Anolis sagrei: one gene and its partners. The protein of the gene in region 1 binds, or shares a complex with, the protein of each later gene. Links are inferred from orthologs where the notes say so. Each region holds a gene or a part of one and is shown on either strand. Other genes may lie near its edges.

Region 1 (9,337 bases):
ATGTAGTTTTTGCGATGAGGATAATTGAATAATTAATGCATTTACACACTGAAATCATTAGAATCTAATTGACAGAAACCAAATCAAACAATACATAAAACAACTTGCATAAACATATTAAATAAACGTAATAGATCTAGCCAAGCACATTTATACTATAACAAACCACTAAAATGGTTTTATAAAAGCCTGCAGAGCCAGGGTGGGTTATCAGCTTTCAGGTGAGGGTGTATCTTTAGATGATCTAGACCCCCTCCCTCCTGACCTTTCCTTAAAAAAAACTTATAACCTGGCTGTGAGGTCAAGCTGCTGAGCAATAATTTGGAATAACTGGGAAGAGAATATTTTTAACAACCGCAATGGTTTGACCTGGACGATGTTTTAAACCAGCTAACTGTTTTAAAGTGATTGTTTTATAACGGTGTTATTGTGTTCAATTGTATCGTGATTTTAATGTATTGTATTGGCACCGTGGGTTGCCTGTTGTAAGCTGTCCTGAGTCCCTCTCTGGGCGTGAGAAGGACCGGGTATAAATGCCCGAAATAAATAAATAAATAATAGTCCTCTGCCTCTCCATAAGCTAAAGTTCATAGATGAGCTTTGTTTTCTAAAGTTTTCTAAAGGAGAGGAGGGAAGGGGCCATTTTTATTTCTTTGGGAAGGGAGTTCCAGAGGCAGAAGGCAATCATGAAGAAGGCCCCCTCTCTCGTTCCCACCAGCCGCGCTTGAGAGGGGAGTGGGACCGAGAGCAGGGCCTCCTCCGCTGACTGCAGTGCCCAAGGTGGTACAGGGAGATGTGGTATGTCAAATAGCCTGGATCCAAACCGTTTAGGGCTTTATAAGTAACTAGCTGTGCCCTGCCACGTGTTGCTGTGGCCTATAGTAAAACTTATCAAAGTTGAGGTAGATATCTGGACTATTATGAAAGAGAGGTACCTACCTATTCCTTCCCCCTTTTCCTCCCCCTTTCTCTCCTTTCTTCCTTCTCTACCTCTTTCTTTCTTTCCTTCTTTCACTACTTGGTTTCATCCTTCTCTCTTTCCTTCATTCCCTCCCCCTTTCTTCCTTTGCCTTTCTTCCCTCCCTGTTTGCTTCCTTCTTTCACTTTTTATTTCCTTTTATTTCACCATCATCATAACAATAACAATAATGCAATGCATTGCCTCTGGGACCTGACACCTCTCCCATTCCCCCTAAAAGGGTCTAATAGAAATAATAGCATAATAATAATAATAGAAATAACAACCTTTACCCGCCACGTGTTGCTGTGGCCAACCTTCCCTCTTTCTCTCCTTCTTTCCCTCTTTCCTTCCTTCCCTCCCTCCCATCTTTCCTTCTCCTCTTCCTTCTCTATCTCTTTCCTTCCTTCCCCCTTTTTCTTTCTCTTCTGGTCTCTTTTCTTCCTTCTCTATTTCCTTCTTTCCTTCCCTCCCTCTTTCTCTACATCTTCCCCCTTCCTTCACTCCCTCTTTCCTTCCTTCATTCCCTTTTTTCTTTCCTTCTCTCCTTCCTTCCTTCGTTCCCTTTTTTCTTTCCTTCTCTCCTTCCTTCCTTCCCCCTTTTTCTTTCCCTCCCTCTGTCTCTCATTTCTTCCTTCTCTACCTCTTTCCTTCCTTCCCCCTTTTTCTTTCTCTTCTGCGGCTGGGCGCCAATGCGCATGCTCAGTTGTTTTGCCATTTTGTGAGTGTGTTTGTGTTGTTTTTCATTTTGAGTAGATATGTTTGTACCTTGTGGGTTGTGTTATGGGCATGGGAATTTTGGTTAAGTTTCATTGGGGTTTTTTAGAGTTTTGCTGTCCCGTTGAACCAACCTAACAGATTTATATATATAGATAACCAGCCCTTTGTATTAGCCCGGAAGCAGACCGACAGCCAGTGGAGCTGCTGTTACATAGGAGTTGTGCGCTCCCTATACAGCACTCCAGTTAGTAAACTCTGAACCAGTTGAACTGCTGAACAATCTTCACAGGCAGCCCCATGTGGAAAACATTGCAGTCGTCTAGATAGGATGTGACTAAAGCGTGGACTACAATGGCCAGATCTGGTGCCTCAAGGTACAGGCACAGCTGGTGCACACGTTTTAATTGTGCAAAGGCGCTCCTGGCCACCGCCAACACCTGAGGCTCCCAGGAGAACCCCCAAGTTGCAAACCTGTATCTTCAGGGGGAATGTAACCTCGTCCAACACAGGCTGTAACCTTTACCCTGATATGCTTCTGACTGACCAGGAGTACCTCCAGGGCCGGCTCAACCCATTACGCAAAGTAAGCATTTGCAGTATAGTTGATCTTGACCAGGGGCGCTCTTGAGGCCTTCTTGGGGGAAAATAGACCTTGACATATGTGAGTTATAGTTACTGGGATGTATAGTTCACCTACAATCAAAGAGCATTCTGAACTCCACCAATGATGGAATTGAACCAAATATGGCACACAGAACTCCCACGATGAACAGAAAATATATATCAGTAATTGGTTGGGGGGGGGGGGCAAACTACTGTTTGCTTACTGTTGAAAATTACCTTGGGCCGCCTTTGAGTACCTCTGTCTTGACTGGGTTGAATTTCAAAATGTTTGCCCTCATTCAGTCCATTACTGATGACACGCACCAGTTTAGGACCAGGGTGACATGGAAAGGAGTACTAGAGTTGGGTGTTATCACCATAAATTTGACACCAAACTCCAAAATTTGGGATGATCTCTTCCAGTGGTTTCAAGTAAATGTTAAACAGCATGGGGGGGGGGGGCAGAATTGAACCCTGAGGGACCCCGCAGGACAATGACCACGGAGTTGAACAGGAGTCCCCCAGCTGTAGAACACTGCCCCTTAATCCCATCCCAGAGAGACGGCTCAGTAGGATACCATAGCCAATGGTATCGAAATCTGCTGAGAGGCCCAGGAGAACCAACAGGGACATACTTCCCTTGTCTAGCTCTCTTTGTCAATCATCCACCAAGGTGATCAATGCTGTCTCAGACATGATACAGACATGTCATAGAGGGCATCAAATGGCTGCCAGGTTGTAAGCCGCCCTGAGTCACCTCCAGGTTCAAGAAAGGCGGGATAGAAGTATCGTAAATAAATAAAACAAATAATGATTAGATCCACATCATGGGGAACGCAAAACCATACCGGGGAAGCAGGTGGAAATGTTATCCTCCTTGAGGCAAAGAGAAATATCTTATAAGTCTTGCTTAATTCCAAACAGCAAAACTATACAATTCAAATAAGCCCAAACTAGAGGGCTTCCAATAGATCCCACAATGGAAACATCTCACATTGCTGTGAAACTCTTTCGTTGTTTTTTTTTAAGCCCCATCTAATCTGCCTGTTAATAACATCCATTCCCTGCTGTGTTTCTAGCTGTTGATGTTTTAAAGCTTTTTTTCAGGAGTCAAAAGGGAGGGGGGAGGGTCTAAAGAAAGGGGTGACAAAAGTGTGCCTGACACTTAAACTATCAGGAAATGATGTGCAGGAGGGATGCCTTAGCCATACCTGCATCCTCCTCCCCTCCATCTTCATCTACCTTAATGACTGCCAACCAGTTCAAAGTGTAAAAAGAGACTGACCCCTTTTAAGTTGGGGGAGGGGCAGACCCAAACCAAGGGAAGGAAGGAAAGAGTTGAAAGGGGGGAAGGAAGGCAAGGGAGGGAGAGAAAAGGAAAGGCAAAGGGGAGGGGAAGGAAAGGAGGGAGAAAGAGGTCAAGAAAGGGAGAGGGAAAAGAAGGAAGAAGGAAGATGAAAGGAAAGGCAAAAGGGAGAGAAAGGAAAGGAGGGAGAAAAGGGTTAGGAAAGGGGGAGGAGAAAAAAGGAAGGAGGGGAGAAAAAGAGGAAAGGAAAGGGGGGAGAAAGAGGTCAAGAAAGGGAGAGGGAAAAGAAGGAAGAAGGGAGATGAAAGGAAAGGGAAAAGGGAGGAAGGAAGGAGGGGAGAAAAAGAGGAAAGGAAAGGGGGGGAGAAAGAGGTCAAGAAAGGGAGAGGGAAAAGAAGGAAGAAGGGAGATGAAAGGAAAGGGAAAAGGGAGGGAGGGAGGAGGGGAGAAAAAGAGGAAAGGAAAGGGGGTAGAAAGAGGTCAGGAAAGGGAGAGGGAAAAGTAGGAAGGGGGAGATGAAAGGAAAGGCAAAAGGGAGGAAGGAAGGAGGGGAGAAAAAGAGGAAAGGGGGGAGAAAGAGGTAGGGAAAGGGAGAGGGAAAAGAAGGAAGGAGGGAGATGAAAGGAAAGGCAAAAGGGAGGAAGGAAGGAGGGGAGAAAAAGAGGAAAGGGGGGAGAAAGAGGTAGGGAAAGGGAGAGGGAAAAGAAGGAAGGAGGGAGATGAAAGGAAAGGCAAAAGGGAGGGAGGAAGGAGGAGAGAAAAAGAGGAAAGGGGGGAGAAAGAGGTAGGGAAAGGGAGAGGGAAAAGAAGGAAGGAGGGAGATGAAAGGAAAGGCAAAAGGGAGAGAAAGGAAAGGAGGGAGAAAAGGGTTAGGAAAGGGGGAGGAGAAAAAAGGAAGGAGGGGAGAAAAGAGGAAAGGAAAGGGGGGAGAAAGAGGTCAAGAAAGGGAGAGGGAAAAGAAGGAAGAAGGGAGATGAAAGGAAAGGGAAAAGGGAGGAAGGAAGGAGGGGAGAAAAAGAGGAAAGGAAAGGGGGGAGAAAGAGGTCAGGAAAGGGAGAGGGAAAAGTAGGAAGGGGGAGATGAAAGGAAAGGCAAAAGGGAGGAAGGAAGGAGGGGAGAAAAAGAGGAAAGGGGGAAGAAAGAGGTAGGGAAAGGGAGAGGGAAAAGTAAGAAGGTGAGATGAAAGGAAAGGCAAAAGGGAAGAAGGGAGGAGGGGAGAAAAAGAGGAAAGGGGGGAGAAAGAGGTAGGGAAAGGGAGAGGGAAAAGAAGGAAGGGGGAGATGAAAGGAAAGGCAAAAGGGAGGAAGGGAGGAGGGAAGGAAAAAGGAAAGGAAAGGAGGGAGAAAGAGGTCAGGAAAGGGAGAGGGAAAAGCAGGAAAAAGGGAGATGAAAGGAAAGGCAAAAGGGGGATGGAAGAGGAAAGGAAAGGGGGGAAAGAGGTAGGGAAAGGGAGAGGGAAAAGAAGGAGGGAGGGAGATGACAGGAAAGGCAAAAGGAGGAAAGGAAGGAGAAAGAGTTGAGGCTGAGCTGTGCGGCAGTCCCAGGGCAGGCCAGGAGGGGGAGAAGTTGGGACAGGAAAGCGAGGGAGGGATCCTTGAAGAGGCCCGCAGCGGGAGCGGGGCTTGGCGGCACGATGGCGGAAGCTGGGGGTCTGGACGAGTGAGTGAGTGAGTGAGTGAGTGAGTGAGTGGGGGGCGGGGCAATGGGGGCTCTTTGTGGCTGGCACCTATTGAGAGAGAGAGAGAGAGAGAGAGAGAGAGAGAGAGAGGGCAGCAGGAAGCCCTGCCTGGCGTTTCCAAACAAGCCAGTTCCAACAAGTCCTCCTTGCCTAACTTTCTGTGCGGGAAGCCCCGCCCCCTTGGGCCGCTTTGGCTCAAGGCAATGGCTTCCTGGTGATATTGCTCGACCACACTGGGAGCTGTAGTTTGGCAAGCCTCCTCTCCCCAGGAGGGCAATTCAAATGTGTGGCAGGAGGGCCTCTGCTGAGCATCTCAGGGCCTGGGCATCACCTGCACTGCCCTGTCATCCAGTTGAACTGCATGATATGAGGCCACACTGCTACAGAATGCCACCCCACTGCATCACATGGCAGTGTAGATGGGGCCACAGTCTGCCAGGTTTTTTGTTTTTTTTATCGTGTCAAAAGCGACTTGAGAAACTGCAAGTCGATTCTGGTGTGAGAGAATTGGCCATCTGCAGAGACATTGCCCAGGGGATGGCCGGATGTGTTACCATCCTGGGGGAGGCTTCTCTCATGTCCCTGCATGGGAAGCTGGAGCTGACAGATGGGAGCTCACTCCATCTCACGGATTCAAACCACCAACCTTCAGGTCAGCAGTTTAGCCGACACAAGGGTTTAACCCATTGCTCCACCGTGGTTCCTAGTCTGCCAGGTAGCCTGAACCCAAGCCATATAGGGCTATAGACTTTTGATTTCCTAAAAGGCTGTTGGAAACGCAACGCAGTCCTGTTTGTGTCTTCCGCCTGATCGCTCCACTTAAAATATAAGTTTCTATTCATTAAATTGGGAAGGTGTACAAGAGCGGAGGAAAGAAGTTCCTGGGTGCAGCATTATGCACTGGCCATTTGGTAAGAGTCTTGGTCCATGTGTTACAACACAAACATTAGTGGTACAGTGGCTAATAATAATAATAATTATTATTATTATTATTATATACTATGTAACAAAATTTGAAAAAAAATCTGTTCCTGGTTTGAGAGTGTTATTTCCTGTTTAATTGTGCAGTACAAGCTGGAATGTGTTCAGAGGAGGGGGACTAAAAGGATCAAGGGTCTGGAGAACAAGACCTATGAGGAGTGGCTTAAAGAACTGGGCATGTTTAGCCTGCAGAAGAGAAGGCTGAGAGGAGACATGACAAGGGCCAGGGCTGTAGCCAAGGGGGAGGGGGTTTAGGGGTTCAAATGGCTATATCTCTAAGGGCAGTCTTTCTTTGCGGCCAATATTGCGTCCACAAGGAACCATCCAGCGGAGCAGTTTCAAGTAGTCAGAGGGTTGTTAAATCCCATCTCCCAAGACGGGATCCCTGACAACTTTGCAGCTCACTGTGAAGCATTTGCTCGGTTCTTTGCGGACCAAGTTGCTCTGATCCACTCCAGCTTGGACACCATGTTAACGGCAATGTCTGAGGATGTAACACAAGCACCTGCTTGTCTGGTTTTGATGGCTTCATTTCAATTGGTGCAGCTCAAGGATGTGGATAAGATACTAGGAGAGGTGAGAGCAACCACATGCATCCTTGACCCCTGTCCATCCTGGCTGGTAAAGGAGGCCAGATGGGGCTTGGCAGAGTTGGTGAAGGTGGTGGTTAATGTCTCCTTACAGGTAGGTAAGATTCCAGCCAGCTTAAAACAAGCTGTAATAAAACCGCTGTTGAAGAAACCATCACTGGGCCCCACTCAATTCCTCAACTTTCAGCCAGCTTCCAATCTCCCCCTTTTAGGCAAAGTCCTGGAATGTGTGGTGGCCTCACAACTCCAGGTGTTCTTGGAAGACATGGATTATGTAGATCCAGTGCAGTCTGTTATCTAGATCCAGTGCAGCCTGGCTTTAGGCAAGGTCATGGAACTGAAACAGCCATGGTTGCCTTAGTGGATGATCTATGCCAGAAACTAGACAGGGGGAGTGTGTCCCTGTTGGTTCTGCTGGACCTTTCAGTGGCCTTTGATAACATAGACCACAGTATCCTTCTGGGACGCCTCGTGGGAATGGGTCTTGGAGGTACTGTTCTGCAGTTGCTCCGGTCCTTCCTGGAGGGCCGTTCCCAGAAGGTCTTTTTGGGGGACACCTGTTCATCCCCACAGCCATTGTCCTGTGGGGTCCCGTAGGGCTCAATACTGTCTCCCAAGTTGTTTAACATCTACATGAAGTCGTTGGGGGAGATCGTCCGGAGTTTTGGAGTTTTATTTCATCTGTACGCAGATGACGTTCAACTCTATCACTCCTTTCCACCTGCTACTAAGGAGGCTGTTCAGGTCCTGAACCAGTGCTTGGCAACTGTGATGGTCTGGAAGAGGGCAAAGAAATTGAAATTGAATCCAGACAAGTCAGAAGTACTCCTGGTCAGTTGTAAGGCTGAACATGACATAGAGTTACAGCCTGTGTTGGATAGTGTTACACTCCCCCTGAAGGTGCAGATTCACAGTTTTGGGAGTTCTCTTGGACTCATTGTTGAGCCTGGAACTCCAGGTTTCAGTAGTGGCCAGGGGAACATTTGCACAATTAAAACTTATGCACCAGTTGCCTCTGTATCTTGGGAAGTTAGACTTGGCCATGGTAGTCCATACTCTTGTTACATCCCGTATAGACTGTTGCAATATGCTCTATGTGGGGTTGCCTTTGAAGACTGTTCGGAAGCTTCAACTGTTCGGAAGCTTCGGAAGCTTCAAGTGGTCCAATGTGCAGCAGCCAGATTGCTCACTGGAGAGGCATACAGGGAGCGCACCACCCCCCTATTACATCAGCTCTACTGGCTGCCAGTCTGCTACTAAACACAATTTAAAGTACTAGCTTTAGCCTATATAGCCCTAAATGGTTCCAGCCCAGCTTACCTGTCCAAACACATCTCCCCCTATAAATCTCAGAGTTTAAGATCATCTGGGGAGGCCCTGCTCTCAATCCTTCCAGGCGCAATTGGCGGGGACAAAAGACAGGGCCTTCTCGGTGGTGGCCCCTCAGCTGTGGAATTCCCTCCCCAGGGATATTAGATCAGCTTCCTCTCTCCTGACCTTCCATAAGAGAGTGTAAATGTGGCTCTGTGACCAAGCGTTTGGAGAACTTGTGCAATAGATAGATATGGAATGATGTGCAATGACTATTGGAATGGCCTGGATTATGCTTGAGGATTATGTGATTGATTGTGAAGATATTGTCTTAAATGTTTTTAATTGTTTTAATGTATTTTATAATTCTACTAGCCGTCCCCTGCCATGCATTGCTATGTCCCAGTCTGGTGATTATAGAATTATAGAATCATAGAGTTGGAAGAGACCTCATGGGCCAGTCCAACCCCCTGCCAAGAAGCAGGAAAACTGCATTCAAATCACCCCTGACAGATGGCCATCCAGACTCTGTTTAAAAGCTTCCAAAGAAGGAGACTCCACTACACTCCGGGGCAGAGAGTTTCACTGCTGAACAGTTCTCACAGTCAGGAAGTTCTTCCTCGTGTTCAGATGGAATCTCCTTTCTACTAAAGATCAATAGAGGCAGATGGACCTCAAGGAGGGCGGTCTGTAAATCTCTGGCCTAATTCTATCAAAGAGACCACCAGAAGTCAGAGTGAAGGCCATAACATGGTTCCATAGAGACTATCAATCATGTGATCGCTCTACTTGTCTTCTAATTACACCTGAAGACAATTCGTGGCTCAGCGAGCTGTTAGCAATTCGATCTTGCTTAAAAGAATGGGGCATTACCATCAGAAAGGTGTTTGTGGATCCCTATGTTCGCCCCCTTGTTGACACAGTGGAACTTCTCACCATGTTCCATCTGCCTTAGCTAGCAGATGTGGTCTCCAATTCGGCTCTGGTCTCCCAGCACTTGATTGTGCCATGTTCCATCTGGTTCCAGTGATAAATCCACAAATAACTCACCGGTTAGGACCCCCACATCTGCACAGTATCAGTTTGAAACCCCAACTGTACTCGTCCCCACTCAATCGGCACACTCTCCTGCCCAAAGACACTACCTCTTTTTAGCCTTCTTAGTTCCCTTGATGATTCCCTTTCTACGT
Region 2 (10,261 bases), on another chromosome or scaffold:
AAAGAATCCAATAGCGTATTTGAGACTAATGGAAAAGAAGACATTTCTAATATCTCTTACTGTGAACACTGCCTACTTCATCAAATGTATCTGACAAAAACGGACTGTATCCACAAAAGCTATACTTGAAATGGCTTCTTCAGGCGGTTTTGATAGTCTCAAAGGTGCTTCTGGATTCCTTTGTGACTTTGATTCTTTTCTTGTGACAGTACTTCCATTTGGGGATCATGACACTGACTGTGTCCAGCTAAAATAAGAACCCTTGCAATGTTTCTGATCCCAGTGAGAACCCCAATGCACTACAAGATATAAAAAAATCTTTCATGTTGAAAGGAAGGGTTCTTCGTGCAAGATCAGGCCTTTTTCTTGGAGATACATTCAAACAGGAAACACAAGTCTCGCTAAAAGTGAAAAATAAAATCTCAGAGCAAATAAAACAACAGTTCTTGTCTAGAGGGATGGTCCTAACTCGTTGGACGTTCACCTTCCAAGAAAGAAAGAAAGAAAGACATCCTGAAAATGGGTTTAGCTCGGAAAGAAAGAAAGAAATAATCCTGAAAATGGGGTTAAATCAGATCATATCACTTCTTATTTTGACTAGAGAGTGTACCAACTTTTTTTTCTTCCAATCTGTTCAATTGCTAAGGAACCACAACAGCAAAAAACATAAACATAAACATGAACTGATTGGTATTAGCAATAATAATAACAATAATTGCAACAACATAGCCTCAGCTGTTGCAAGAAAATCACACAGACGGACTACAAACAAAGGCACAACTCTGTCGCCCAAATAATTCACTGGAATTTACGTCACAAGTACAACCTACCAGCAAAGGTTGTAGAAAATGAACATACAGAAATACTGTGGGAGTTTCAAATCCAGACTGACAAAGTTTTCGAACACAATACACCAGACATCACGATTGTGGAAAAGAAAAAAATTGGATTATTGATGTCGCCATACCAGGTGACAGTCACATTGAGGAAAAACAACAGGAAAAACTCAGCCGTTATCAGGATCTCAAAATCGAACTGCAAAGGCTCTGGCATAAACCAGTACAGGTGGTCCCAGTGGTCATTGGTGCACTGCGTGCCATGCCAAAAGATCTCAGCCAGCATTTGGAAACAATAAACATTGGCAAAATCATGATCTGTCAACTCCAAAAGGCCACCTTGCTTGGATCTCCACAAATCATTTGAAAATACACCACACAGTCCTAGATGCTTGGGAAGTGTTCAACTTGTGATTTTGTGATATGAAATCCAGCATATAGATCTCGTTTGCTGTAATATACTATGTTTTTGTGTCAGTAAAATAATAACAATATTTTAGTTATCAGCTTCTCTTAAGTGTGTAAGTCCCTAACAATGGCAACTATATGAATTTCATGGAGTTTCCTCAGGCAATACTCACAGGTTTTAAGTGATCCTTTCTCTGAAATATAGCCTACAGAACTTGGTATTCATTGGAAATCTCTGTTCAAAGTGCTAACCAGGGCTGTTAAGCTTCCAAGATCAGACAGGATCTGGCACATTTAGGATACTTGGGCCCACTATATCAGCGGTTCCCAACCTGTGGTCCGTGGACCACCAGTGGTCCCCAAGAACGAAAATATGGTCTGTGGCATCACCATGACTACACCATTGCTTCGAAAACATGCGGCAAACGAGAGCGACTGGTCTCTCAAAACCCTCTTATCATGCCAAGGCAACAAGGCTGTCAGGAGGGGAGAGGCTGACTACCCATGAAAGATTAGTACTACCACACCAGCTTATGAAATATGGTTTTCTGTGGTTGAGCAGATGGCGACTACTGGATGGCAAACTTTCTGTATCAGAAGCTAGAGCTGCTGTGCTCTATCCAATGCAATTTTCAGCACCCCAAATAACTAAACCAAATGTAAAGTTGACCAACAACCAATTCCTAACCCTTTTGGTACTAATATTGGAAAGTGGTCCCTGGTCAATGTGGTCCTTGGTCAAAAAAAATGGTTGGGAACCACTGATCTACACAGTAGAATTAATGCACTCTGGCACCACTTTTAACTGACACATCTCAATGCTTCGCTGGCCAACATTTTGGTGCCTTGAATGTTAGCCCTGTTTCTGCGTATATTTGATCTTCTAGTTCCAAAAAATGGCACCAGTTTTCTCTTATCATCACCCACCAGTCGCCATCTGTTCACCCACAGAAAATCATATCTAAGAAACCGGAGCTTATGCAGTCTACCCAATCCAATTTTCTGAACCCTATAACTCCAGGAACAGACCTAAAAGCCAAGAGAACAAGAATTTATTATGGCTGTGTTGTGGGAGTTGTTGTTTACTGGAACATCAACACTCTTTGCCAGAGAAGGCCAAGGGTTTTGTAAAAGCTCTATAGCAGGCATGGGCAAACTTTGGCTCTTCAGGTGTTTTCAACTTCAACTCCCACCATTCCTAACAGCCTACCAGCATTATCACAGAGTGTCTGCGCCCTACACCACTGGAGAAATTACACTGTTTAGCTGGTATTGCACCACCTGACATCCGCCAGGAAGTAGCAGCCAATAGTGAAAGGACCAAGGCAGAGGCAAAAAGGTGAAGACCTGGATGTTTGTGCAGGCGTTTGAGTAATTTAGTGCAATCTGGTAATGGAACATAGGAATGGAACAATGGACGACGAACCTGGACTACGCTTGGATGATGAGAAGATTGGGTACGGTTGTTTTTTGTAATAATTGTGCATTGTAATTGCTTATTGGTAATTTATGGATAATGTGTTAAGTCAATTGTTATATGCTGTATGGAACCACTGCTGTTTCTACTGTTTTTACTGTTTGTGAACCGCCGTGAGTCGCCTTCGGGCTTGAGATACAGCGGTATATAAGCAAAGTAAATAAATAAATAATAAATCTCCAGCTCATCCCTTGTTTGGGTATCAGCCAGCAAGTCAACGACTTAAATCAAGAAATAGTTTTCTAAGATCTACAGAGACACTCGGTGGAACACCTCAGCAAGCGAGAGTCCAAAAGTGGCAGGCTCAAACCCAGAACCTCAATCAATGGCTGATACCAAATGAGAGACTCCCACCTGGGCACACAGAAAACTGGGCGACTTGGAAGGCGCTGAACAGACTGCGCTCTGGCACCACGAGATGCAGAGCCAATCTTAAGAAATGGGGCTACAAAGTGGAATCCACGACATGCGAGTGTGGAGAAGAGCAAACCACTGACCACCTGCTGCAATGCAACCTGAGCCCAGCCACATGCACAATGGAGGACCTCCTTGCGGCAACGCCAGAGGCACTCCAAGTGGCCAGATACTGGTCAAAGGACATTTAATCAACTACCAAGCTTGCAAACTTTGTGTTTTGTCTGTCTATTTGTTAGTTTGTTTGTTTGTTAAAAAAGGCACCGCAACTGTTCGGTCTGCTCCTGACAAGATGAATAAAAATGTGAAGTCATATAATCCAGTTCAAAGAGGATAATGTGGATTATCCAATTTGGTAATCTGGATAATATAGCAGTGCAGAAGGGGCCTCAATGTTATGGGAATAAGGAGGGATCCTGGGAGTTGTAGTTTTGCAAGTTCTTTAGAGTCTTTCCTGCCAAAGAGTGCTGGAGGAAGGGAAGGGGACATCATCTCGGATTTTATAATCATAGGCCCTTTCCACGCAGCTCTATATGGCAGTGTGGACTCAGTTCAAAGCAGATATTGTGGGATTGTCTGCCTTGATAATCTGGGCTCCACAGCAGTGTGGAAGGGCCCGGGGAGGAAGGCATCCACAGCAAAGGAGCTCTGCCTTTGTAGAATGAATGCAGCCATGCAGAATTGGGTTTGGCAAGAGTGTGGACGGCAAACCCCAGGACAGCATGGAGCCAAGCTGCGTGCAGTCTACAGCAGAGATCTGGAGGAAGAAGCTTACCTAGAATCCGGGCTGGCGGAGGGGGGAAAGGGCGGGAGAGCCCCGGAAGAGGAAAGGGCCGGAGGAAGACATCAGAGGGGAAGACGCCTTGGGCAGCCCTGTGTTTGTGCCTCTTGCAAAGGGAGGGAAGCGGCATCGGCGCCCTTTGTTGGCCTCTTCCCTCTTCCCTCCGGCGGCTTGAGGTCCATGGCTCCGCCTCCTGCTCCTCCTCCTCCTCGCTTTCCCACCATGCCTGCCGCCTGTGTCACCTCGAGAGGCTTCCCCCCGGAAGGCTGCCGGCGCCCGGGCCTTGGAACGTTACCGGCCGCAGCGTTCGGTTTTGGGTCTTCGAGCGTTCGAGATGAGCGGCGAGGAGGAGGAAGAAGGCGGGGCGGGGAGCTCGCGGAGGCTCTACACAGCGCTGCCGGTCTGGGTGGTGGAGGACCATCACGACGTAAGCACTGCGCGACTGCTTACTGCAAGCGGAATGAGGGCCCTTTGACCCCACTTCTGACTTCAGCAGTGACTCAGGGGGCATCCACACCGCTTCAGCTGCCATGGAGATGGTTGTCACTTGACAAGCTACTGTTTCCCAAAAGAATGCTATGATACCTCACTGTTAGGATCTCATCACACTAGAGAATGATTCCACTTTAAATCTGGTTGCTACCTCCTCCTGACTCCTGAAGAATTCTGGGATTTGTAGTTTAGGGAGGACTCTTTAACAGCATCACTAAACTACAAACCCCAGAATTCTGCAGGAGGCAGAAACCGGATTTAGAGGGGATTCATTGGGCAGGAGGTGGTTGCTTATTATTTATTTGTTTGTTTGTTTGTTTATTTTGTCGTATCAGGAGTGACTTGAGAAACTGCATGATTTTATACATGTGTCCAAAGTTCTATTCTTTGTTTAATTATGGTGTTTATGATTTAATTAATATAAAATGATGCAGCTTGAGAATTTTGCTTGAAAATCTCTAGTGTGGGAGAATTGGCTGTCTGCAAGGACGTTGCTCAAGGGACGCCCGGATGTTTTTGATGTTTTACCATCCTTGTCAGAGGCTTCTCTCATGTCGCCACATGAGAAGCTGGAGCTGATAGAGGGAGCTCATCCACACTCTCCCCTGATTCGAATCTACAACCTGTAGGTCTTCAGTCCAGCCGGCACAGGGGTTTAACCCACTGTGCCACCAGAGGTGGTAATAGTAAGATAGCTGGGTCTGGAAGCTCCGTGCAAGATGCCGCATCGCTCCTTCAGGAGCGCTGTTTGCGCAAGAAAGACTTAGCTAATGTAAGCCAGGCCGGAGGCAGATAATATAGAAGGAATGTAAGAGTTCTTTAATGGTGAAACTCTAACTCTGAACCGTACCGGAAGTCTAAGCCCAAACCCTAACTCTGAACCATACCATAAGCCTAAACCATTACCCTAACCCAAACCCCTTACCCTAACCCTGAACCATATCATAAGCCTAAGCCTAAACTCTTAACCTAACCCTAACCCCTTGCCCTAACCCTTACCCAAACCCTGAACCATACCGTAAGACTAAGCCTAACCTCTTACCCAAACCCTAAGCCTAACCTCTTACGCTAAACCTTACCCAAACCCTAACCCTGAACCATACCGTAAGCCTTAGCCTAACCCCTTATCCAAACCCTTACCATAACCCTAAGCCTTATCCTAACCCTTATCCTAACCCTTACGCTAACCCAAACCCCAAACCCTGCTCTAACCCTTACCCTAAGCGTCCCCTCCTTTCTATCCTTCCTTCGCTCTCCCTGCTCTCACTCCACCCCCTCTCTTCCCTTTTCCCCACCCGTCTTTGTGGCATCTCCGTAATGCTGGGAGCTTCCAGACCCAGCTATCATACTATCACCAAGTTCTTTAATGGTGAAACCCTAACAGCAGCATAAGTCTAAGCCCTTACTCTAATCCTTACGCAAACCCAAAACCTTACCCTAACCCTAAACCATACCCTAACTGAAACCTCTAACCTTACTATAACCCTAACCCAAACCCTAAACCTTGTCCTAAACCTTACCCAAAGCATCCCCTCCTTTCTATCCTTACTTCTCTCTCCCCATTCTCACTCCTGCCCCCCCCTTCCCTTATTCACACTCACCTTTGTGGCATCTCCGTAATGCTCGGAGCTTCCGGATCCAGCTATCATACTATCACCCAGGCGGCTTAGCACAGCTGGTAAATCACCAGCAACTATAAGATCTGTTAACCCAAAGGTTGCAAGTTCAAAGCCTCAGGTCGGTGTGAGCGGTCGACTGTCAGCCTAGCTCACTGTTTACCTAAGCAGTTCAGAAACAGCTTTCGGTGTAATTAGAGAAATTAGGTACTGCTAAAAGTGGGGGAGGTGTTTTACGGTGCCATAAGGAAAGAATATTAGAAAATGCTGGGCAACCAAAGAGGAAGGAGGAAGTTCTGACAGCTCTTTGTCATAGCAAATGGAGCAACAGCACCCCCTGTGGTTGGACTCACTTTTCTTGGCACCAAAAACAGCTGGACACTGAGTCGATAACACCTCCTTTCTGTTCTGTCTGTTTGTGTATTGAATATTTGCCATGTATGTGTGCTGTGATCCGCCATGAGTCCCCTTCGGAGTGAGAAGGGCGGAATATAAATAAAGTGTTGTTATTATTCTTTCTCTAGTGTGATGAAGTAGCAAATCCCAGGATTCCATAGTGTTGAGCCATAACAGTGGTGTCAACTATTATTTAATTAGGGATGTGCGATCCATTAAAAAAAATGGCTCAAAAGTCATTACAAAACTGGCATTTCGTTTCTAAAGTGTTTCCAAAGTATTCTTACTGGGGAAAAATCGTTACTATAACGTGAGTAACGGAATTTCATTTCTTTTCCGTTACTGTAATTGCATGTAATTACTCAAATTGGAGAAAGTTCATGGGCTCCTATCTCCCTCATTTTTAAAGCTAATGGAATGAAACGTGCTGCCGTGGCAGAACATATTTGGCACTGTTAGCTCACCAAATTTCAGAAGGTTTCACTCATCTATGGATTTTTGGGGAATTTTCAAAGTTTTTATAAACAACTTAAAAAAACCACAAGAGCAATCTGCTTGAATTTTCTGTACAATGACACAAGATAATAGGTGATGGTTCCCCACAACTTTCAGAAATATTCATACATCTACTGTTTTTTGGGAATTAAAAAAAAAGTTTTGACATTTTCAACCATTCATTGGAACTTTAGGGCAGGGCCCTTTGAATCCATCTCCTACAAAATCCAGTGTAAATACTTCACGTTGTTGCTAACAAATTTGTGGACATTGGTGGCATTCAGCAACTTTTTTATTGGGAGTTGCTCTTTATGTGTAACAATGTGTAGGAATAGGCTGCAGTAAGGTTATAGTAAGGCCCCTTCCACATACCTGGATAAAATCCCACATTTTTTTATTTGAACTGGAATATGTGGCACTGTGGACTCAGATAACCCAGTTCAAAGCAGACATTGTGGGATTTTCTGCTTTGATATTCTGGGTTATATGGTTGTGCGAAAGGGCCCTAAGAATTCCTAGGGTGCATTTACACTGCGTAGTTATTCCAGTTTGACACCATTTTAACTGCCATGGCACAATGCTATGGAATCCTGTAGATTGTGAGGCACCAGGACTCCAACCAAAGACCATTTGAAATGATACATGGCAGTTAAAATGGTGTCAAACTGGGTTGATCTATATAAATAAAAATGTAATGTTCATTTGTGGGATTAACATAACTCAAAAACCACTGGACGAATTGACACCAAATTTGGACACAATACACCTATCAGGCCAATGAGTGACCATCACTAATTAAAAACACTGAAAAACACAGCAGAAGAGACTTAAAATGCCAAAAAACAACAACATTACAACGCATGCGCAAAACCATATATATATGCACACACACACACACATATATGCAAACACATACATATACACATATACACACACACAAAACACATATACACAGACTGGGCTGTAAAAATGCACGCTGAGTTACCTCTTGTGGTGGTGGGTAGCTCACATGTCTGCAAGGTGGCAAACCCACTTGAGGTTTCAGCTAGTTTTAATGGGGCTCTCCAAGTGACTTAATATATTTTATGCAAGGTTCAGCACATTGGATAGTTGCCTTAAAGGTTAGTTTAATGCCTGAAGTGAATTCACTATCTCACTGTCATGTTGAGCTGGTGGCCGGTTGCTCTTCTCAATTGACTCCCTCTTTCTCAATAACAGTTTATCATAGAATCATAGAGTTGGAAGAGACACCAAGAGCCATCCATTCCAACATCTATGTAGACACACCCAATCAAAGCAGTCCCAACAGATGGCCACCCAGCGTCTTGTTCAAAAACCTCCAGAAGAGGAGAGTCTACCACACTCTGAAGCAATATATTCCACTAACAGCTCTTCCTAATATTTAGGTGGAATCTCTTTCAGTTTGAATGCATTGCTTCATATCTGGGACACTGAAATATAAGCTGGCTCTAACTTCAACATGACACCTTTTCAAATATTTAGACTTGGTTGTTATGTCATCCCTTAACCTTTCCTTCTCCAGGCTAAATATATCCAACTCTGTATAAGTCACTCCAAATGGTGCTCGGCTTCCAGACCTTTTGCTATTTTGATCACACTTCTCTGGACACATTCTAGCTTGTCAATATCCTTTTTGATGCCCAAAACTGCACACAGTATTTTAGGCGAGGTATGATCAGAGGCAACATGGCTTCCCCCAAATTTCGACACTATGCTCCTATTGATGCAGCCTAGAATTGCATTGGCTTTTTAAGCTGCTGCTTCTTCACACTATTGCCTCATATTCAGCTTGTGGTCTACTAAGACTCCAATATCTTTTTTACATGTACTGTTGTAAAGCCAGGTGTTTTTTTCTGCATAAGCATAGTACTATACAATTCTTCCTGTTGGAATGTTTGGTTGATTTTTGGCCCAGCTCTCTATAATCTGTCTTTGCCTCGATTTAAATGCTTGTGTATCATTGTTATTTTAGGTTCTTCCTTTCATTTACCGAGGCATTGGTTCGAAGCACCTTCCTGCCTGCAACATCAGCTTTGTCCATTTGGATTCTCACCCAGATCTTCTCATCCCAGTGAATATGCCTGCAGACACAGTGTTTGACAAAGAAGCTCTGTTTAGGTAGGATCCTGTGATCTGATTGTTCATACACTAGATTTTTATGCATACAGGAAGTAAAGAGTGTGGTTTCCTTTGCCTTTGATGTCTTGCTTCATTTCTGGACCAACCCAACATCACAGAATTATAATGTAATATTTTAAGTTTTACGCTCATGATACAAATATTAAATTATATATATATATATATATATATATATATATATATATATATATATATAATATTATATTATATTATATTATATTATATTATATTCATATGTGTTTGCATTTGCCTTATTTTTAAATTCTACTAGCTTGGGTACCTAGCATTGTCCGGATTATTTGAAAAGGTCAAATTTTAAATTACACAAAATACATAAGGTTGTGGGTGAACTACAACTTAAATCATGCCAGGTTAACCCAAAAACACTCTATCAGTACTTAAAGTTATGTTGGGCAGTTTTGCTCTGGATGCATCATTGGTGGGGTTCAGTGTACTCTTTGGCTGTAGGGTAAACTACAACTCCCACTATGGTGAATCATTCCCCTCAAATCCCTCCAGTAGGTTGAGTTAGTCATAGGGGTTCTGTGTACTAAGTTTGGTCCAAATCCATCATTGTTTGGGTTCATAGTGTGCTTTGGATGTAGGTGAACTACAACTTCTATAGATTCCCTCCAAAGACCTCCAGTATTTTTTGTTTGGTCATGGGGACTCTATGTGCCAAGTTAGTTCCAGGTTCATTGTTGGTGGAGTTCAGAGTGCTCTTAGATTGCAGGTGAACTATACATCTCAGTACCTTCAATTCCTATAAATTATGGTTAATTCTCCCCAAACCTCGCTAGTACATTCAGTTGCTGATCAATTCCTCTGTTTGCTGTGTGCCATAGAAAAGAATAGAAAACCCATGGCAGTTAAAGTAAAGCCAAACCATTAATTCTACAGTGTAGATTCACCCTTAGATTGCTGATCACAAAAGTTTCAATTTTTTTCCTACTGTTTGCTCATGTACTTGTCCCACATTTATTGTATACTCGTATTTCCCACATTTATTGTATACTCATATTGTATACTGGCCTTTGCTTTTGAGATGTGCAAATGTATTGTGACGATGTGATATGCCAGCCCATGTCTTTTGACAGCAGCATTCCTTTCAGTGCATGCAACCTTGTGTTCTTTTACAGTGAGCTAAGTATTGAGAACTGGATCATGCCTGCTGTTTATGCTGGCC
Region 3 (10,234 bases), on another chromosome or scaffold:
CCCGCCCACTAACACATGTAGGTCATTTCCCTCCAGATCTGAATAGACATAAATCAGGTCTGAAAATATACCTTCTAAATGCTGCACACAGAATGTGATGAACTTGCACCAAGGTCTGATGGAATAACTCTGTTTTCCATTTTTTGGAGACATATAAAGCAGCTGAAAAGTCCAGGACAATGCCTAATTGGGTGTTTCTGAAAACCTGAGATGCTTGAGTGACCCGTGGTGGAACACACATTATTTACATTCTATTCCACTGATACAGTCTATGTAAGACTGTTCTGAAACCTCACCTGATCCCAATTCTTCCACCCATTTGTGATGAGTGCCACATACAGGGCATATGTTTTAAACTGCTTTACTTTAATTGTTCCACAAGCATATCTCTAGCAGACTAATAATTGCAATCAATGAGCTTCATTCTTTCTTCACTAACCATTTTTATTGATATACATGGTCTTGATTTTTTACATTTTCAGTGTAAAAAAGGATTGCATGAATGCATAGTTTTTATTCTGTAAATTATTTCAAAAATATAGCAGCCGAAACTGCGTGATGCAATTTTAATTTCTTAAAATTGAACCACTATAATTGTGAAATATACGTAAATAAGCTTTTCTGCACAACACGGAACTATTAACAAAGCACCTGATATCTCAGAATAAGTTGTAAAAATAACTTAACTAATAAAATGCTATTTGTTATTTGGAACTGCCAAGTTGTTGCAGACACTAAAATCCAAGAAATGTAACACTATTTTATTTATTTTACATTTTTCTGTGATCATTACTTCCAAATATTCATGGTGGTTCACCTTCAAGGCTTTTGCATAGAAAGATTGGGGAATCCATCCCCCAACCCTAGAATGCTGTTGATCTCCACTTTCCATCAACTCCCAGGGAGACTGGCTAATAGTTGATGTAAAGTATAGTTAATCAGGATCTCCAGGGTCACATGTTCCTTACACTACATATATGGAACAATTATAGCAATTCTTGTGTTTCTGCTTTATGCACAACTATATTCAAGGTTACAAGTTGGCAAATTATGACAATATAGGACTATTGTACTACCCTAAGAGCTAAGCATAAACTTTTCCACCTCACTTGAGAAATTATTTCCCCAGTAAATCTAACCTCCCCGTTTATAAGAAATCATGGACATTTGTTTCAGACCAATATACTGTTAAAATCCACATTAGTTAACAGAACTTGCTTCCAAATTCACCTATAGGATTACAGCCATTGTCTTTTAGTATGTGGTCTACCTTAATAGCTTTGCATAAATGCAGTTTGGAAGCAAAATTATCTGGGGTTTTTTATTACAAACAAATGAAATCCCAGTGCATGTGGGATTATATTAATGAATAAAATAAATATATGGGGAAAAGAAACTCTGACCCTACTGGATAGCTTTCTTTAAACCCAAAATTTCTTGCATATTATCTCTACAAAACACCAAGTGCATCAATCTACACAGGAGCTTGCAGTAGGCCTAGGAGAAGGTGGCTGGCAATCTGAGATCCACCAGATTTGTTCACTTGGAAGAACCTACAACTGGACTCCTCTATGTCAACCTGAAGCTGTTCTAAATATCTGCCACACACTGGAATCAGTGATAAATATGTAAAACACACATAAAGGAGACACAGACATTCTTCCCATTCCATCCAATGTGTACCTGCAGGGCTTTGGAAGCAGTGACAGGTGCACCACTTTACAGACATCACCAACATGATTTAGATTTGCACTGTTAGTTCTATACAAAAATGATAAAATTTTATGATAGTTAAGGAATAAACAATTGGAAAATGTTTTAAAATCAGCAATACTGAAACATTCTCATTTTTCTCCAGTCAGTTAAGAAATATTTTGACAGGGATTAGAATGTGTATTGGATGCAAGGTGTTTGTGTGTGCATGGAGTACATGGTTTGGAAATAATCTGCCCTGTATGTTTTAGAAAACAAGATTAACTGTATTTCTTTTGGAAAAACCAGAGATATAGAACCAGCTTTTTATTTAGCCAGTCAGAAAAAATAAGGTCATCCAAGCAAGTAAGTAACTGCCTCTGTAGCTCATAGATACATCAAGAATGCTGGGAAGTTTGTGATCTATGATTTATGCAGGCCTGGTGGTAGACATTATGGATATCAGAGTGAGAGAGAGAAAACTTCGCACACTGCTATAATCAGCATAATTTCCACATTGCATGTTACTTTTTACCCATTAGTATATATATTATAATAATCTACAGTGCTCCCTTGAGTGTTCTCATTCTGCTACAATCCCATATTTCCCTAGAAGCTTCACTGACCTCAATGAGACCCATTTCAGAGTACATATATATAGACTGAAGTATATACAGGCAGTCTCCAAGTTACAAACAAGATAGGTTATGTAGGCTTGTTCTTAAGTTGAATTTGTAAGTTGGAACAGGTGCATTTTTAAATATAACACCTGCCAAAAATACATCTATATTAGCTTATGATAGCATAGGGAAGGGTTAACACCATTGTGGTGTATGCTTTGCTATCTGTTTTGAAAAGATTTTACTCAGAAAGTGCTTACTGCCATACAGAAGTAATCCTAGGTAATCCCACATCACTCAAGATTTTCTTTTTAAGGAACCAGAGCTTTTGTCACATCTTACGCCTCAAATAATTGAACCCAATCAGAATTATGCAATATAGATCAGAGCTAACTGGAATGTGCAGTTTTCTCTCTCCTGGTAGACTTTCAGAGCATCTGTTCAATTCCTTATCCTTAAGATCTCCTACTTGTTTCCTTACTCCTTTTAAGAAGCCTACTCCTACTCCTTTTTACAAGAGTGTATTTCCCATCCACTGAAACTTTATCCACTAGGGATGCATCTAGACTGCAGAATTAATGCAATTCGACTTCACTTTAACTGTCATGGTTCGATGCTATTGAGTCCTGGGAGTTCTAGTATCTCAAGGTCTTTGCCTTGCGGAACTACATTTCCCAGGATTCCATAGCATGGCAGTTCACAGAATCATAGAGCTAGAAGTCCACAAGAGCCATGCAATCCAACTCCTTGACATGCAGGAATACACAATCAAAGCTGTCCCTATGGACAGCCACCCAAGATCTGCTTAGAAACCTCCAGAGTTGGAGATTCCATCACATTCTGAGGCCACTTCTACATCTAAAATCCAGATTATCCGCTTTGAACTGGAGTATATGGCACTACAGACTCATAGAATACAGTTCAAAACAGATAATGTGGATTATTTACTTTGATAATCTGGATGATATGGCAGTGTAGCAGGGGCCTGAGGCACATAAAGAGCTGTTCATATTCCTGTTGAACAGCGCTTACTGTCAGGAAGTTCTTCTGAATGTTCACATGGAATCTTTTTTCCTATAACTTGAATCCATTGTTTCTCCTAGGCCTCAGAGCTGAATTTTCATTTATTTATTTCTATCTTGCCTTTCTCCACCCCGGAGGGGACTCAAGGCGGCTTTCACTTAGGCAACTATTCAATGCCTTCAAAGGCAATGTACAAATAAAATAAACCTTTAAAATAGAATTATATGATACATTAAAACATATAAAACAATACCTTCACTGTTAACCACGTTATTTATCACGTCAGAAGGTAACTGAAGACATAATTATAATGTATTTAAAACCACAAAGGAAGTTTAAAAACTTGGCATTATTCTAAATGTCCTTTGAACAGGAGCTGTTCATTTGGAGTGCCTCTGGTGTTGCTATGGGAAGGTCCTTTGCTGTGCATACGGCAGGGCTCAGGTTGCATTGTAGTTGGTGGTCTGTGGCTGCAGCATACAACCAAACCACTGAATAAAATATCACATTATCTGCTTTGAATTGTAATATATGTCAATGTGGGCTCAGATAACCCAGGTCAAAGAAGATATTGTGGGATTTTCTGCCTTGATATTGTGGGTTATATGACTGTGTGGAAGGGCCCCTAGTCTCCAGAGCAGCAGAAAACACGTTTGCCATTTCCTCAATGTGACATCCTTTCACTTATGAAACATGGTTGTCATGTCCCCTCTCAGCCTTCCTCTCTCCAGATAAACATCCCTAGTTCCCTCACCTGCTTCTCAAAGAGCTTTGTCTCAGATCATTTCAGTCATCTTCTCCAAGCTGAACATAGTATCAAAGTGCGCTGATTCGACAGCATAGAACAGGTATGGACAAACTTGGCCCCTCCAGATGTTTTGGACTTCAACTCCCACAATTCCTAACAGCCCCAGTACTTTTCCTTTTCCCCCTCAGCTGCTTAAGGTACACTTGATCTTAAACAAAGGCTGAGGGGTGATCATAACCTACCAACACATACATTAGCCACAGGATGGGATATTAAAGCCAGCAAATTGTCTGAATTGCACATAATAGGTTTTTAGCACAATAAAGGTAAATGTAGCTGCAGAAGGTATTCCAGTAAAGTAATAGTAAGGTCAGTTTTCTGAGTGTCAAGCCATAACTGGTTCAAATGGGAGCTTGGCTGAATAGCCTGGCCCTCCACCATTTGTATTTAAGGTTTAGGGGTGAAGTATCTTTTATGGGTCCAATTAGTGCATCATATTCTCCTAGTGCTGTCATCCAGAGTGGGATCAGTGTCACATTTGGTAGTGACTTGTCTCCCAGTTAGATCTATAGCACTACCCCCCCCCCCCAAGCAGGTTCATGAGACCCTCCAGATTGTTCAGGTGGGATTGATTGATTTGATCGTTTTAACTAGTAATAACTGTTGATGTTAAATTGTAAATTGTACTTTGTGAATTGTTGGGCATCGAATTGTGCCTTTTCTAAGCCGCCCTGAGTCCCCCCTAGGGGGTTGAGAAGGGCGGAGTAGAAGCACTCCAAATAAATAAATAGGAATTTAACAGAGATCTTTCTAATTCTGTACATGTCCCAGTTTTTGGCAAAAGCATCAGTACAGCCCTCATTATGCCTAAAACGCTGAAGCAGCTGAAGAGGAAAAAGAAAGGGCCTGAGACTGTTAGGAATTGAAGTCCAAAACATCTGGAGAGCCCAAGTTTGCCCATGCCTGGTGAAGAAGCACTCCTTTCTTAACACTCTGATGTGAAAAGGGAGAACAGAGCAGTGAGAGAAGGCCTGCTTACCTCGGAAAAGTTTACGGCTAGCGGGATGATGCCTGCCACATAGCAGCCCACCAGCATCGCTAGAGACAGCAGGCTGATCGACAAGAAGTCGTCCATGGCCGGCTCCTCTTACGTTACAGTTTCCCAGGGAATTCCAGAAAGGGAAGAGGCCTCATGGGCCCGAAACACCCGGGGTGGGCGGCAGGAAAGCGGGCAGCACTCTGCTTCGAGGCTGGGGGCCCTTCTCTAACGGAGGGCGGGCGAGAAGAGGCACGGGCGAGAAGAGGAAGCTCGCCAAGGCCCTCACACAACCTTCCTGAGGAGGAGAAGGGAGGAAGTGCCTCAGGTTCAGGCCCCGGGCCCTCACCACCTGCCCCTCACTGTCCCACCGCCGCCACTGCGAGTGGAGTCCTCCTCCTCCGCCTCAGAAGCGGCCATCAAGGGCCAAGTGGCAGCTTCTCCCTCACTTCCTCTTCCCTTCCTTAACTTCCGGAACACTTGGCAGTGAAAGAGAGGCGTACGAGCGAGCAGGCCTCGCTGGATTCGCTCCTTTCTTTCCCGCCCAATTTTAAGATGGCGGCGAAGCGAACGAAGGTCAACGCCGCCCCGCCCACCGCTAGCCATTCCTAAGGCGGGCCTCGACTACACTACTCCGGCGCCCTGACCAAAGATGGCCGCTTTCGTCTCCCGCGCGAGGAAAAGTCAACGCAGAAGTGAGATCTCGCGAGGCTGGCGCTGTTGACGCTCTACCTCCTGCGGCTCTCCTCAGAAAACGGTGGCACCTCTATGGTTCTCGTGCGGGATTTGGAGTCTACAGTCAGTTTCCGGCGGCCGCGGAGCATTGTGGTTGAGAAGTCGTTAGGAGTTTGCTTCGCGCCCGAGCCGAACAGAAAAGAATCGCCATGGTGAGTTCAGAGAGGGGGTTTTGAGCGGCGAAGAGACTCGGAATTGACTGAAGGAGGCGGAGGCTTTTCGCTTGGTGCCTCGCAGTTCACTTGAGAAGGCTTCGGGCCTAAAGGCGAGGAGGCAATGGCGAGGGGCGAGGGTCGGTCTCTACAAAGCCTATTATGCGTGGCCTCTGAGAAACAGCGAAGCCCTCCCTCCTCGCCCTCCCAAGACTTCCCTAAGTCGACCTTAGCGAGACAGAGTGCATCCACACTGGAGAATTAATTCAGTTTCACGCCACTTTGACTTCCATGGCGCCATGCTATGGAATCCTGAGAGGTAGCAGTTTCGTGAGGTGCCAGCACCGTTTGGTAGAGGACGCTAAGGACCGTGTAGAGCAGGCAAGGGCAAACTCTGGCCCTCCACGTGTTTTGGACTCCAACTCCCATCATTCCTAACAGCCTCAGGCCCCTTCCTTTTCCCCCTCAGCCGCTTAAGGGACACAATTCGTAGAATAGAATCAAACAGTTGGAAGAGACCTCATGGGCCATCCAGTCCAACCCCCTGCCAAGAAGCAGGAAAATTGCGTTCAAAGCACCCCTGACAGATGGCCATCTAGCCTCTGTTTAAAAGCTTCCAAAGGAGGAGCTTCCATCACACTCCGGGGCAGAGAGTTCCACTGCTGAACGGCTCTCACAGTCAGGAAGTTCTTCCTAATGTTCAGATGGAATCTCCTTTCTTGTAGTTTGAAGCCATTGCTCCGCATCCTAGTCTCCAGGGCAGCTGAAAACAAGCCTCCTTATGATTTCCTCTCACGTATTTATGTATGGCTATCATGTCTCCTCTCAGCCTTCTCTTCTTCAGGCTAAACATGCCCAGCTCTTTAAGCCACCCCTCATAGGGCTTGTTCTCCAGACCCTTGATCACTTTAGTCACCCTCCTCTGGACACATTCCAACATGTCAATTGTGGTGCCCAGAATTATTTATTTATTTATTTACTGCACTTGTAGACCGCCGTTCTCAGCCCTGGAGCGACTCACGGCGGTGTAATTGGACACAATATTCCAGATGTGATCTAACAAAGGCAGAATAGAGGGGCAGCATTACTTCCCTAGATCTAGACACTATACTCCTATTGATGCAGGCCAAAATCCCATTGGCTTTCTTTGCCGGTGCATCACATTGTTGACTCATGTTTAACTTCTTGTCCACGAGGACCCCAAGACCTTTTTCACACGTACTGCTCCCAAGCCATGCGTCCCCCATTCTGTATCTTTACATTTCCTTTTTTCTGCCTAAGTGGAGTATCTTGCATTTGTCACTGTTGAACTTCATTTTGTTAGTTTGGCCCATCTCTCTAATCTGTTAAGATCATTTTGAATTCTGCTCCTGTCTTCTGGAGTATTGGCTATCCTTCCCAAATTGGTGTCGTCTGCAAATAGAATAGATGGTGAAGTTGAGATTTTATGGACCGTAATTTGGACTGATGTGGAGGATGTTTTAAACCCGGTAAACTGTTTTTAATGTATATTTAAAATCATTTAATGCAATTGTGTATTTTATTGCTGTTTTTATATTGTATTAACATCGAATTGTTGCCTGCTGGTAGCCGCTCTGAGTCCCTCCTCGGAGGTCGAGAATAGGACGGAATATAAATGTTCTAAATAAATAAATTCGAATTGTGTATGAATGAAACTTGGGAGCATCCATGGATTTTGTTGTCTACAGGCATCCTGAGACCAAACATAATGGGCCATGCTATTGTAGTCTAAAGCTGTAGGTTCTCTTATGTAAAACCATGCTAGTAAATTGTATATTTTGTAAAAATTTATCTTAAAAAGCATTTCACACACTCCAAATGAGAAAGATTTCTTTAAGAGGTCTTTTTGCTGGACTCTGAAAAAGAACCCACTCACAAATTATTATTTTTTTATTCAGTGTATTTCTTCTAGTAAAATATATGCTTGATTATTTTCCTTAGAGACAGAACTTGTTAAAATTAGTAATAGGTATATCCATAATTTAAAAGCAATGTATTGAACCAAATATATTATATATATCAGGATTTCACCTGTGTACCCATAATAGATGTGTAGTTGGGCTACTGTTATATGTGCAATTAACTGAGAGTAAGCCTCATTTTTTGACCTTTTACTTTGTGAACATAGCTGTTCCACATAGTCTACTACTTACTAACTGGCATGCTGTACTGATCAGAAACTTTCAATGAATGACCAAAGCAGTCCCATGTTCCCACGTAGAAAGCTTGCAATCATCCTAATATTTAAAAATAATTTCATTTGGCAAGCTGCTAGCAGTTGGCACTTCAATAAATAGCTTGTCTGCTTAACATTCTAGTTGTCAAGAGTATTTTTCCAAATCTTCATTTTTAAATATATATCACATTTCTTTCATTCTAAGATGCACTTTTCTCTCTTTTAAATACCTCTAAAAGGGGGGTTCACATTAGAATCATGCATATATATATATAAAGCTTTGTTGTTGGTGGTACTGAAATTAGTGTGAAATTGCATCTTATTTTCTGCATGTGGCCATAACATACATTCAGTTAAATTCTATTCTCTATCATGAAATTTTCCCATTGTGCAATACATCCTTAAAAACAAACCTATTTTACGTAGAAAATTAAAATAGGACAGGGCGGGGGAAATAGCCATTGTTCTTCAGTGTTTGCATTATTTTTGTATGATTAGTACACTTCAGCATTTGATGTAAATAACATGCTTTATTCTGGTACATTCAGAAGTCTAAATAAATGTTGTGTTTGCTTTTGTACAGTCTCACACAATTTTGCTTGTTCAGCCTACCAAACGACCAGAAGGCAGAACTTACGCTGATTATGAATCTGTGAATGAGTGCATGGAAGGTAATATTCCTGCTGTAGATTACTTGATGCTAAATCAATGTTAAAAGTTGGGGATTCCTTTTAAACCTGGCCAGTTAAGCCAATAACTGAAGAAGCAATTATTGGCTCTTGCGTGGTTGTGTGTTTTATTTTGGAGATGTCGCAATGACTCCTCTGACTGAATCAGATCTTTTTGAATCTAGTGTATCTAGGATGCAGTATGCTACTTTGCTTGAAAATAAGGATTTTTCTATTAGAGCCAGATATCATGTGTCAATTTTTACCCAATCAGAAGATATGAGAAAGTTTATAATTTTAATAAGAATAATAAATTGATACATGGAGGTGCTAACACTGTTAAAGTATTTGGTCAAGTCTAGTGCCACAGAGAGGAAAAACACTTTGAAAGCCAAAGTTAAAATCTTCAGATTCAATTTGTACTTCAGTGTTTGAATTTTTTTACTTCTGCAGAATAATTTATTTGTAAATTTATCTACATGAAAGCTTAATTTGCTAACATTCAATTGATCAGATGTCATTTGCTTGGATGTGCACTGATTCTCTTTTCTTATATTTGACATCTAGATTTTCAGTAGCAGTGTGGGGTTTCATGAATGCCTCTTGTAGATACTGGATATTCTTTTTTCTTAGGAGTTTGCAAAATGTATGAAGAACATTTGAAGAGAATGAATCCAAACAGCCCTTCAATCACATATGATATTAGCCAATTATTTGATTTTATTGATGATTTGGCTGACCTCAGCTGCCTTGTGTGAGTATTTTATACTTTTAACTTCTATAAATATATATCTTCTCTTGCTTAGACATATATGGTTGCATTTGTATAGAGTTTTGTTGCTGTGTGCCTTCAAGTCATTTCTGGGTTATGGCACTTCTAAAGCAAACTTCTCATGGGTTTTCCTGGCAAGATTTATTAAAAGGAAATACCTCATTGCTTTTCTCTGAGACTGGAAGTACCTTGTATAGTCATGTATAAGTATAGAAATCTTGTCCAGTGGGTTTCTGTAGCTGAGTAGATATTCAAATTCTGGTGTCCCAGAGTCCTAGTTTATTTATTTATTTACTATATTTCTACCCCTCTCTGTCTCACCCTGATGGGGACTCAGAGCGGCTTACAGTTTTGGCAATTTCAATGTCACATTGCTAATACAAATATATAAATTCATCACCTTAAGAAACAAAACAGATAAAACATATTAATACAATTAAAACGGTTAAAACATAGCCCTAGTCCTTAGTCGTCATTCATGCTGCTACATTTATGTAATAATAATAAACTTTATTTGTACCCCACTCCATCTCCCCGATGGGGACTCAGTGCGGCTTACATGAGGTCAAGCCCAAAACAACAATTACATGA

What was found.
Region 2: the proteins of DGCR8 (region 1) and DROSHA are in contact, whole or in part, in a crystal structure (PDB 5B16), measured with the Homo sapiens proteins. The link is inferred for Anolis sagrei from reciprocal best matches to the Homo sapiens genes DGCR8 and DROSHA. Residues at the interface, in NP_073557.3 of Homo sapiens: Asn728, Ile731, Leu732, Lys734, Leu735, Gln736, Glu738, Met739, Lys740, Leu742, Ala743, Arg746, Arg750; in NP_001369437.1 of Homo sapiens: Leu984, Leu987, Phe988, Thr998, Tyr999, Thr1001, Ala1002, Ile1003, Gln1005, His1008, Phe1069, Asp1073, Leu1074, Glu1076, Val1077, Trp1078, Asn1080, Pro1082.
Region 3: the proteins of DGCR8 (region 1) and ERH are in contact, whole or in part, in a crystal structure (PDB 7CNC), measured with the Homo sapiens proteins. The link is inferred for Anolis sagrei from reciprocal best matches to the Homo sapiens genes DGCR8 and ERH. Residues at the interface, in NP_073557.3 of Homo sapiens: Lys107, Phe108, Ser109, Pro110, Asp111, Leu112, Leu114, Leu115; in NP_004441.1 of Homo sapiens: Val8, Pro10, Thr11, Thr18, Tyr19, Ala20, Glu27, Lys34, Met35, His39, Arg42, Met43, Phe60, Leu64.

Annotation. Positions count from the first base shown.
Region 1 is NC_090034.1:35,703,260-35,712,596, forward strand, and holds the start of DGCR8 (microprocessor complex subunit DGCR8), read left to right. Parts: upstream 1-5,141; 5' UTR 5,142-5,246; intron 5,247-9,337.
Region 2 is NC_090024.1:91,652,866-91,663,126, reverse strand, and holds the start of DROSHA (ribonuclease 3), read right to left. Parts: upstream 4,108-10,261; 5' UTR 3,911-4,107; intron 1-3,910. Other genes in the region: C4H5orf22 (UPF0489 protein C5orf22 homolog), read left to right, coding at 4,251-4,343, 8,909-9,054, 10,215-10,261. UniProt on the Homo sapiens protein: Ribonuclease III double-stranded (ds) RNA-specific endoribonuclease that is involved in the initial step of microRNA (miRNA) biogenesis.
Region 3 is NC_090021.1:283,408,915-283,419,148, reverse strand, and holds the start of ERH (enhancer of rudimentary homolog), read left to right. Parts: upstream 1-5,899; 5' UTR 5,900-6,003; coding exon 6,004-6,006; intron 6,007-8,786; coding exon 8,787-8,874; intron 8,875-9,504; coding exon 9,505-9,625; intron 9,626-10,234. Other genes in the region: SLC39A9 (zinc transporter ZIP9), read right to left, coding at 5,123-5,218. UniProt on the Homo sapiens protein: May have a role in the cell cycle.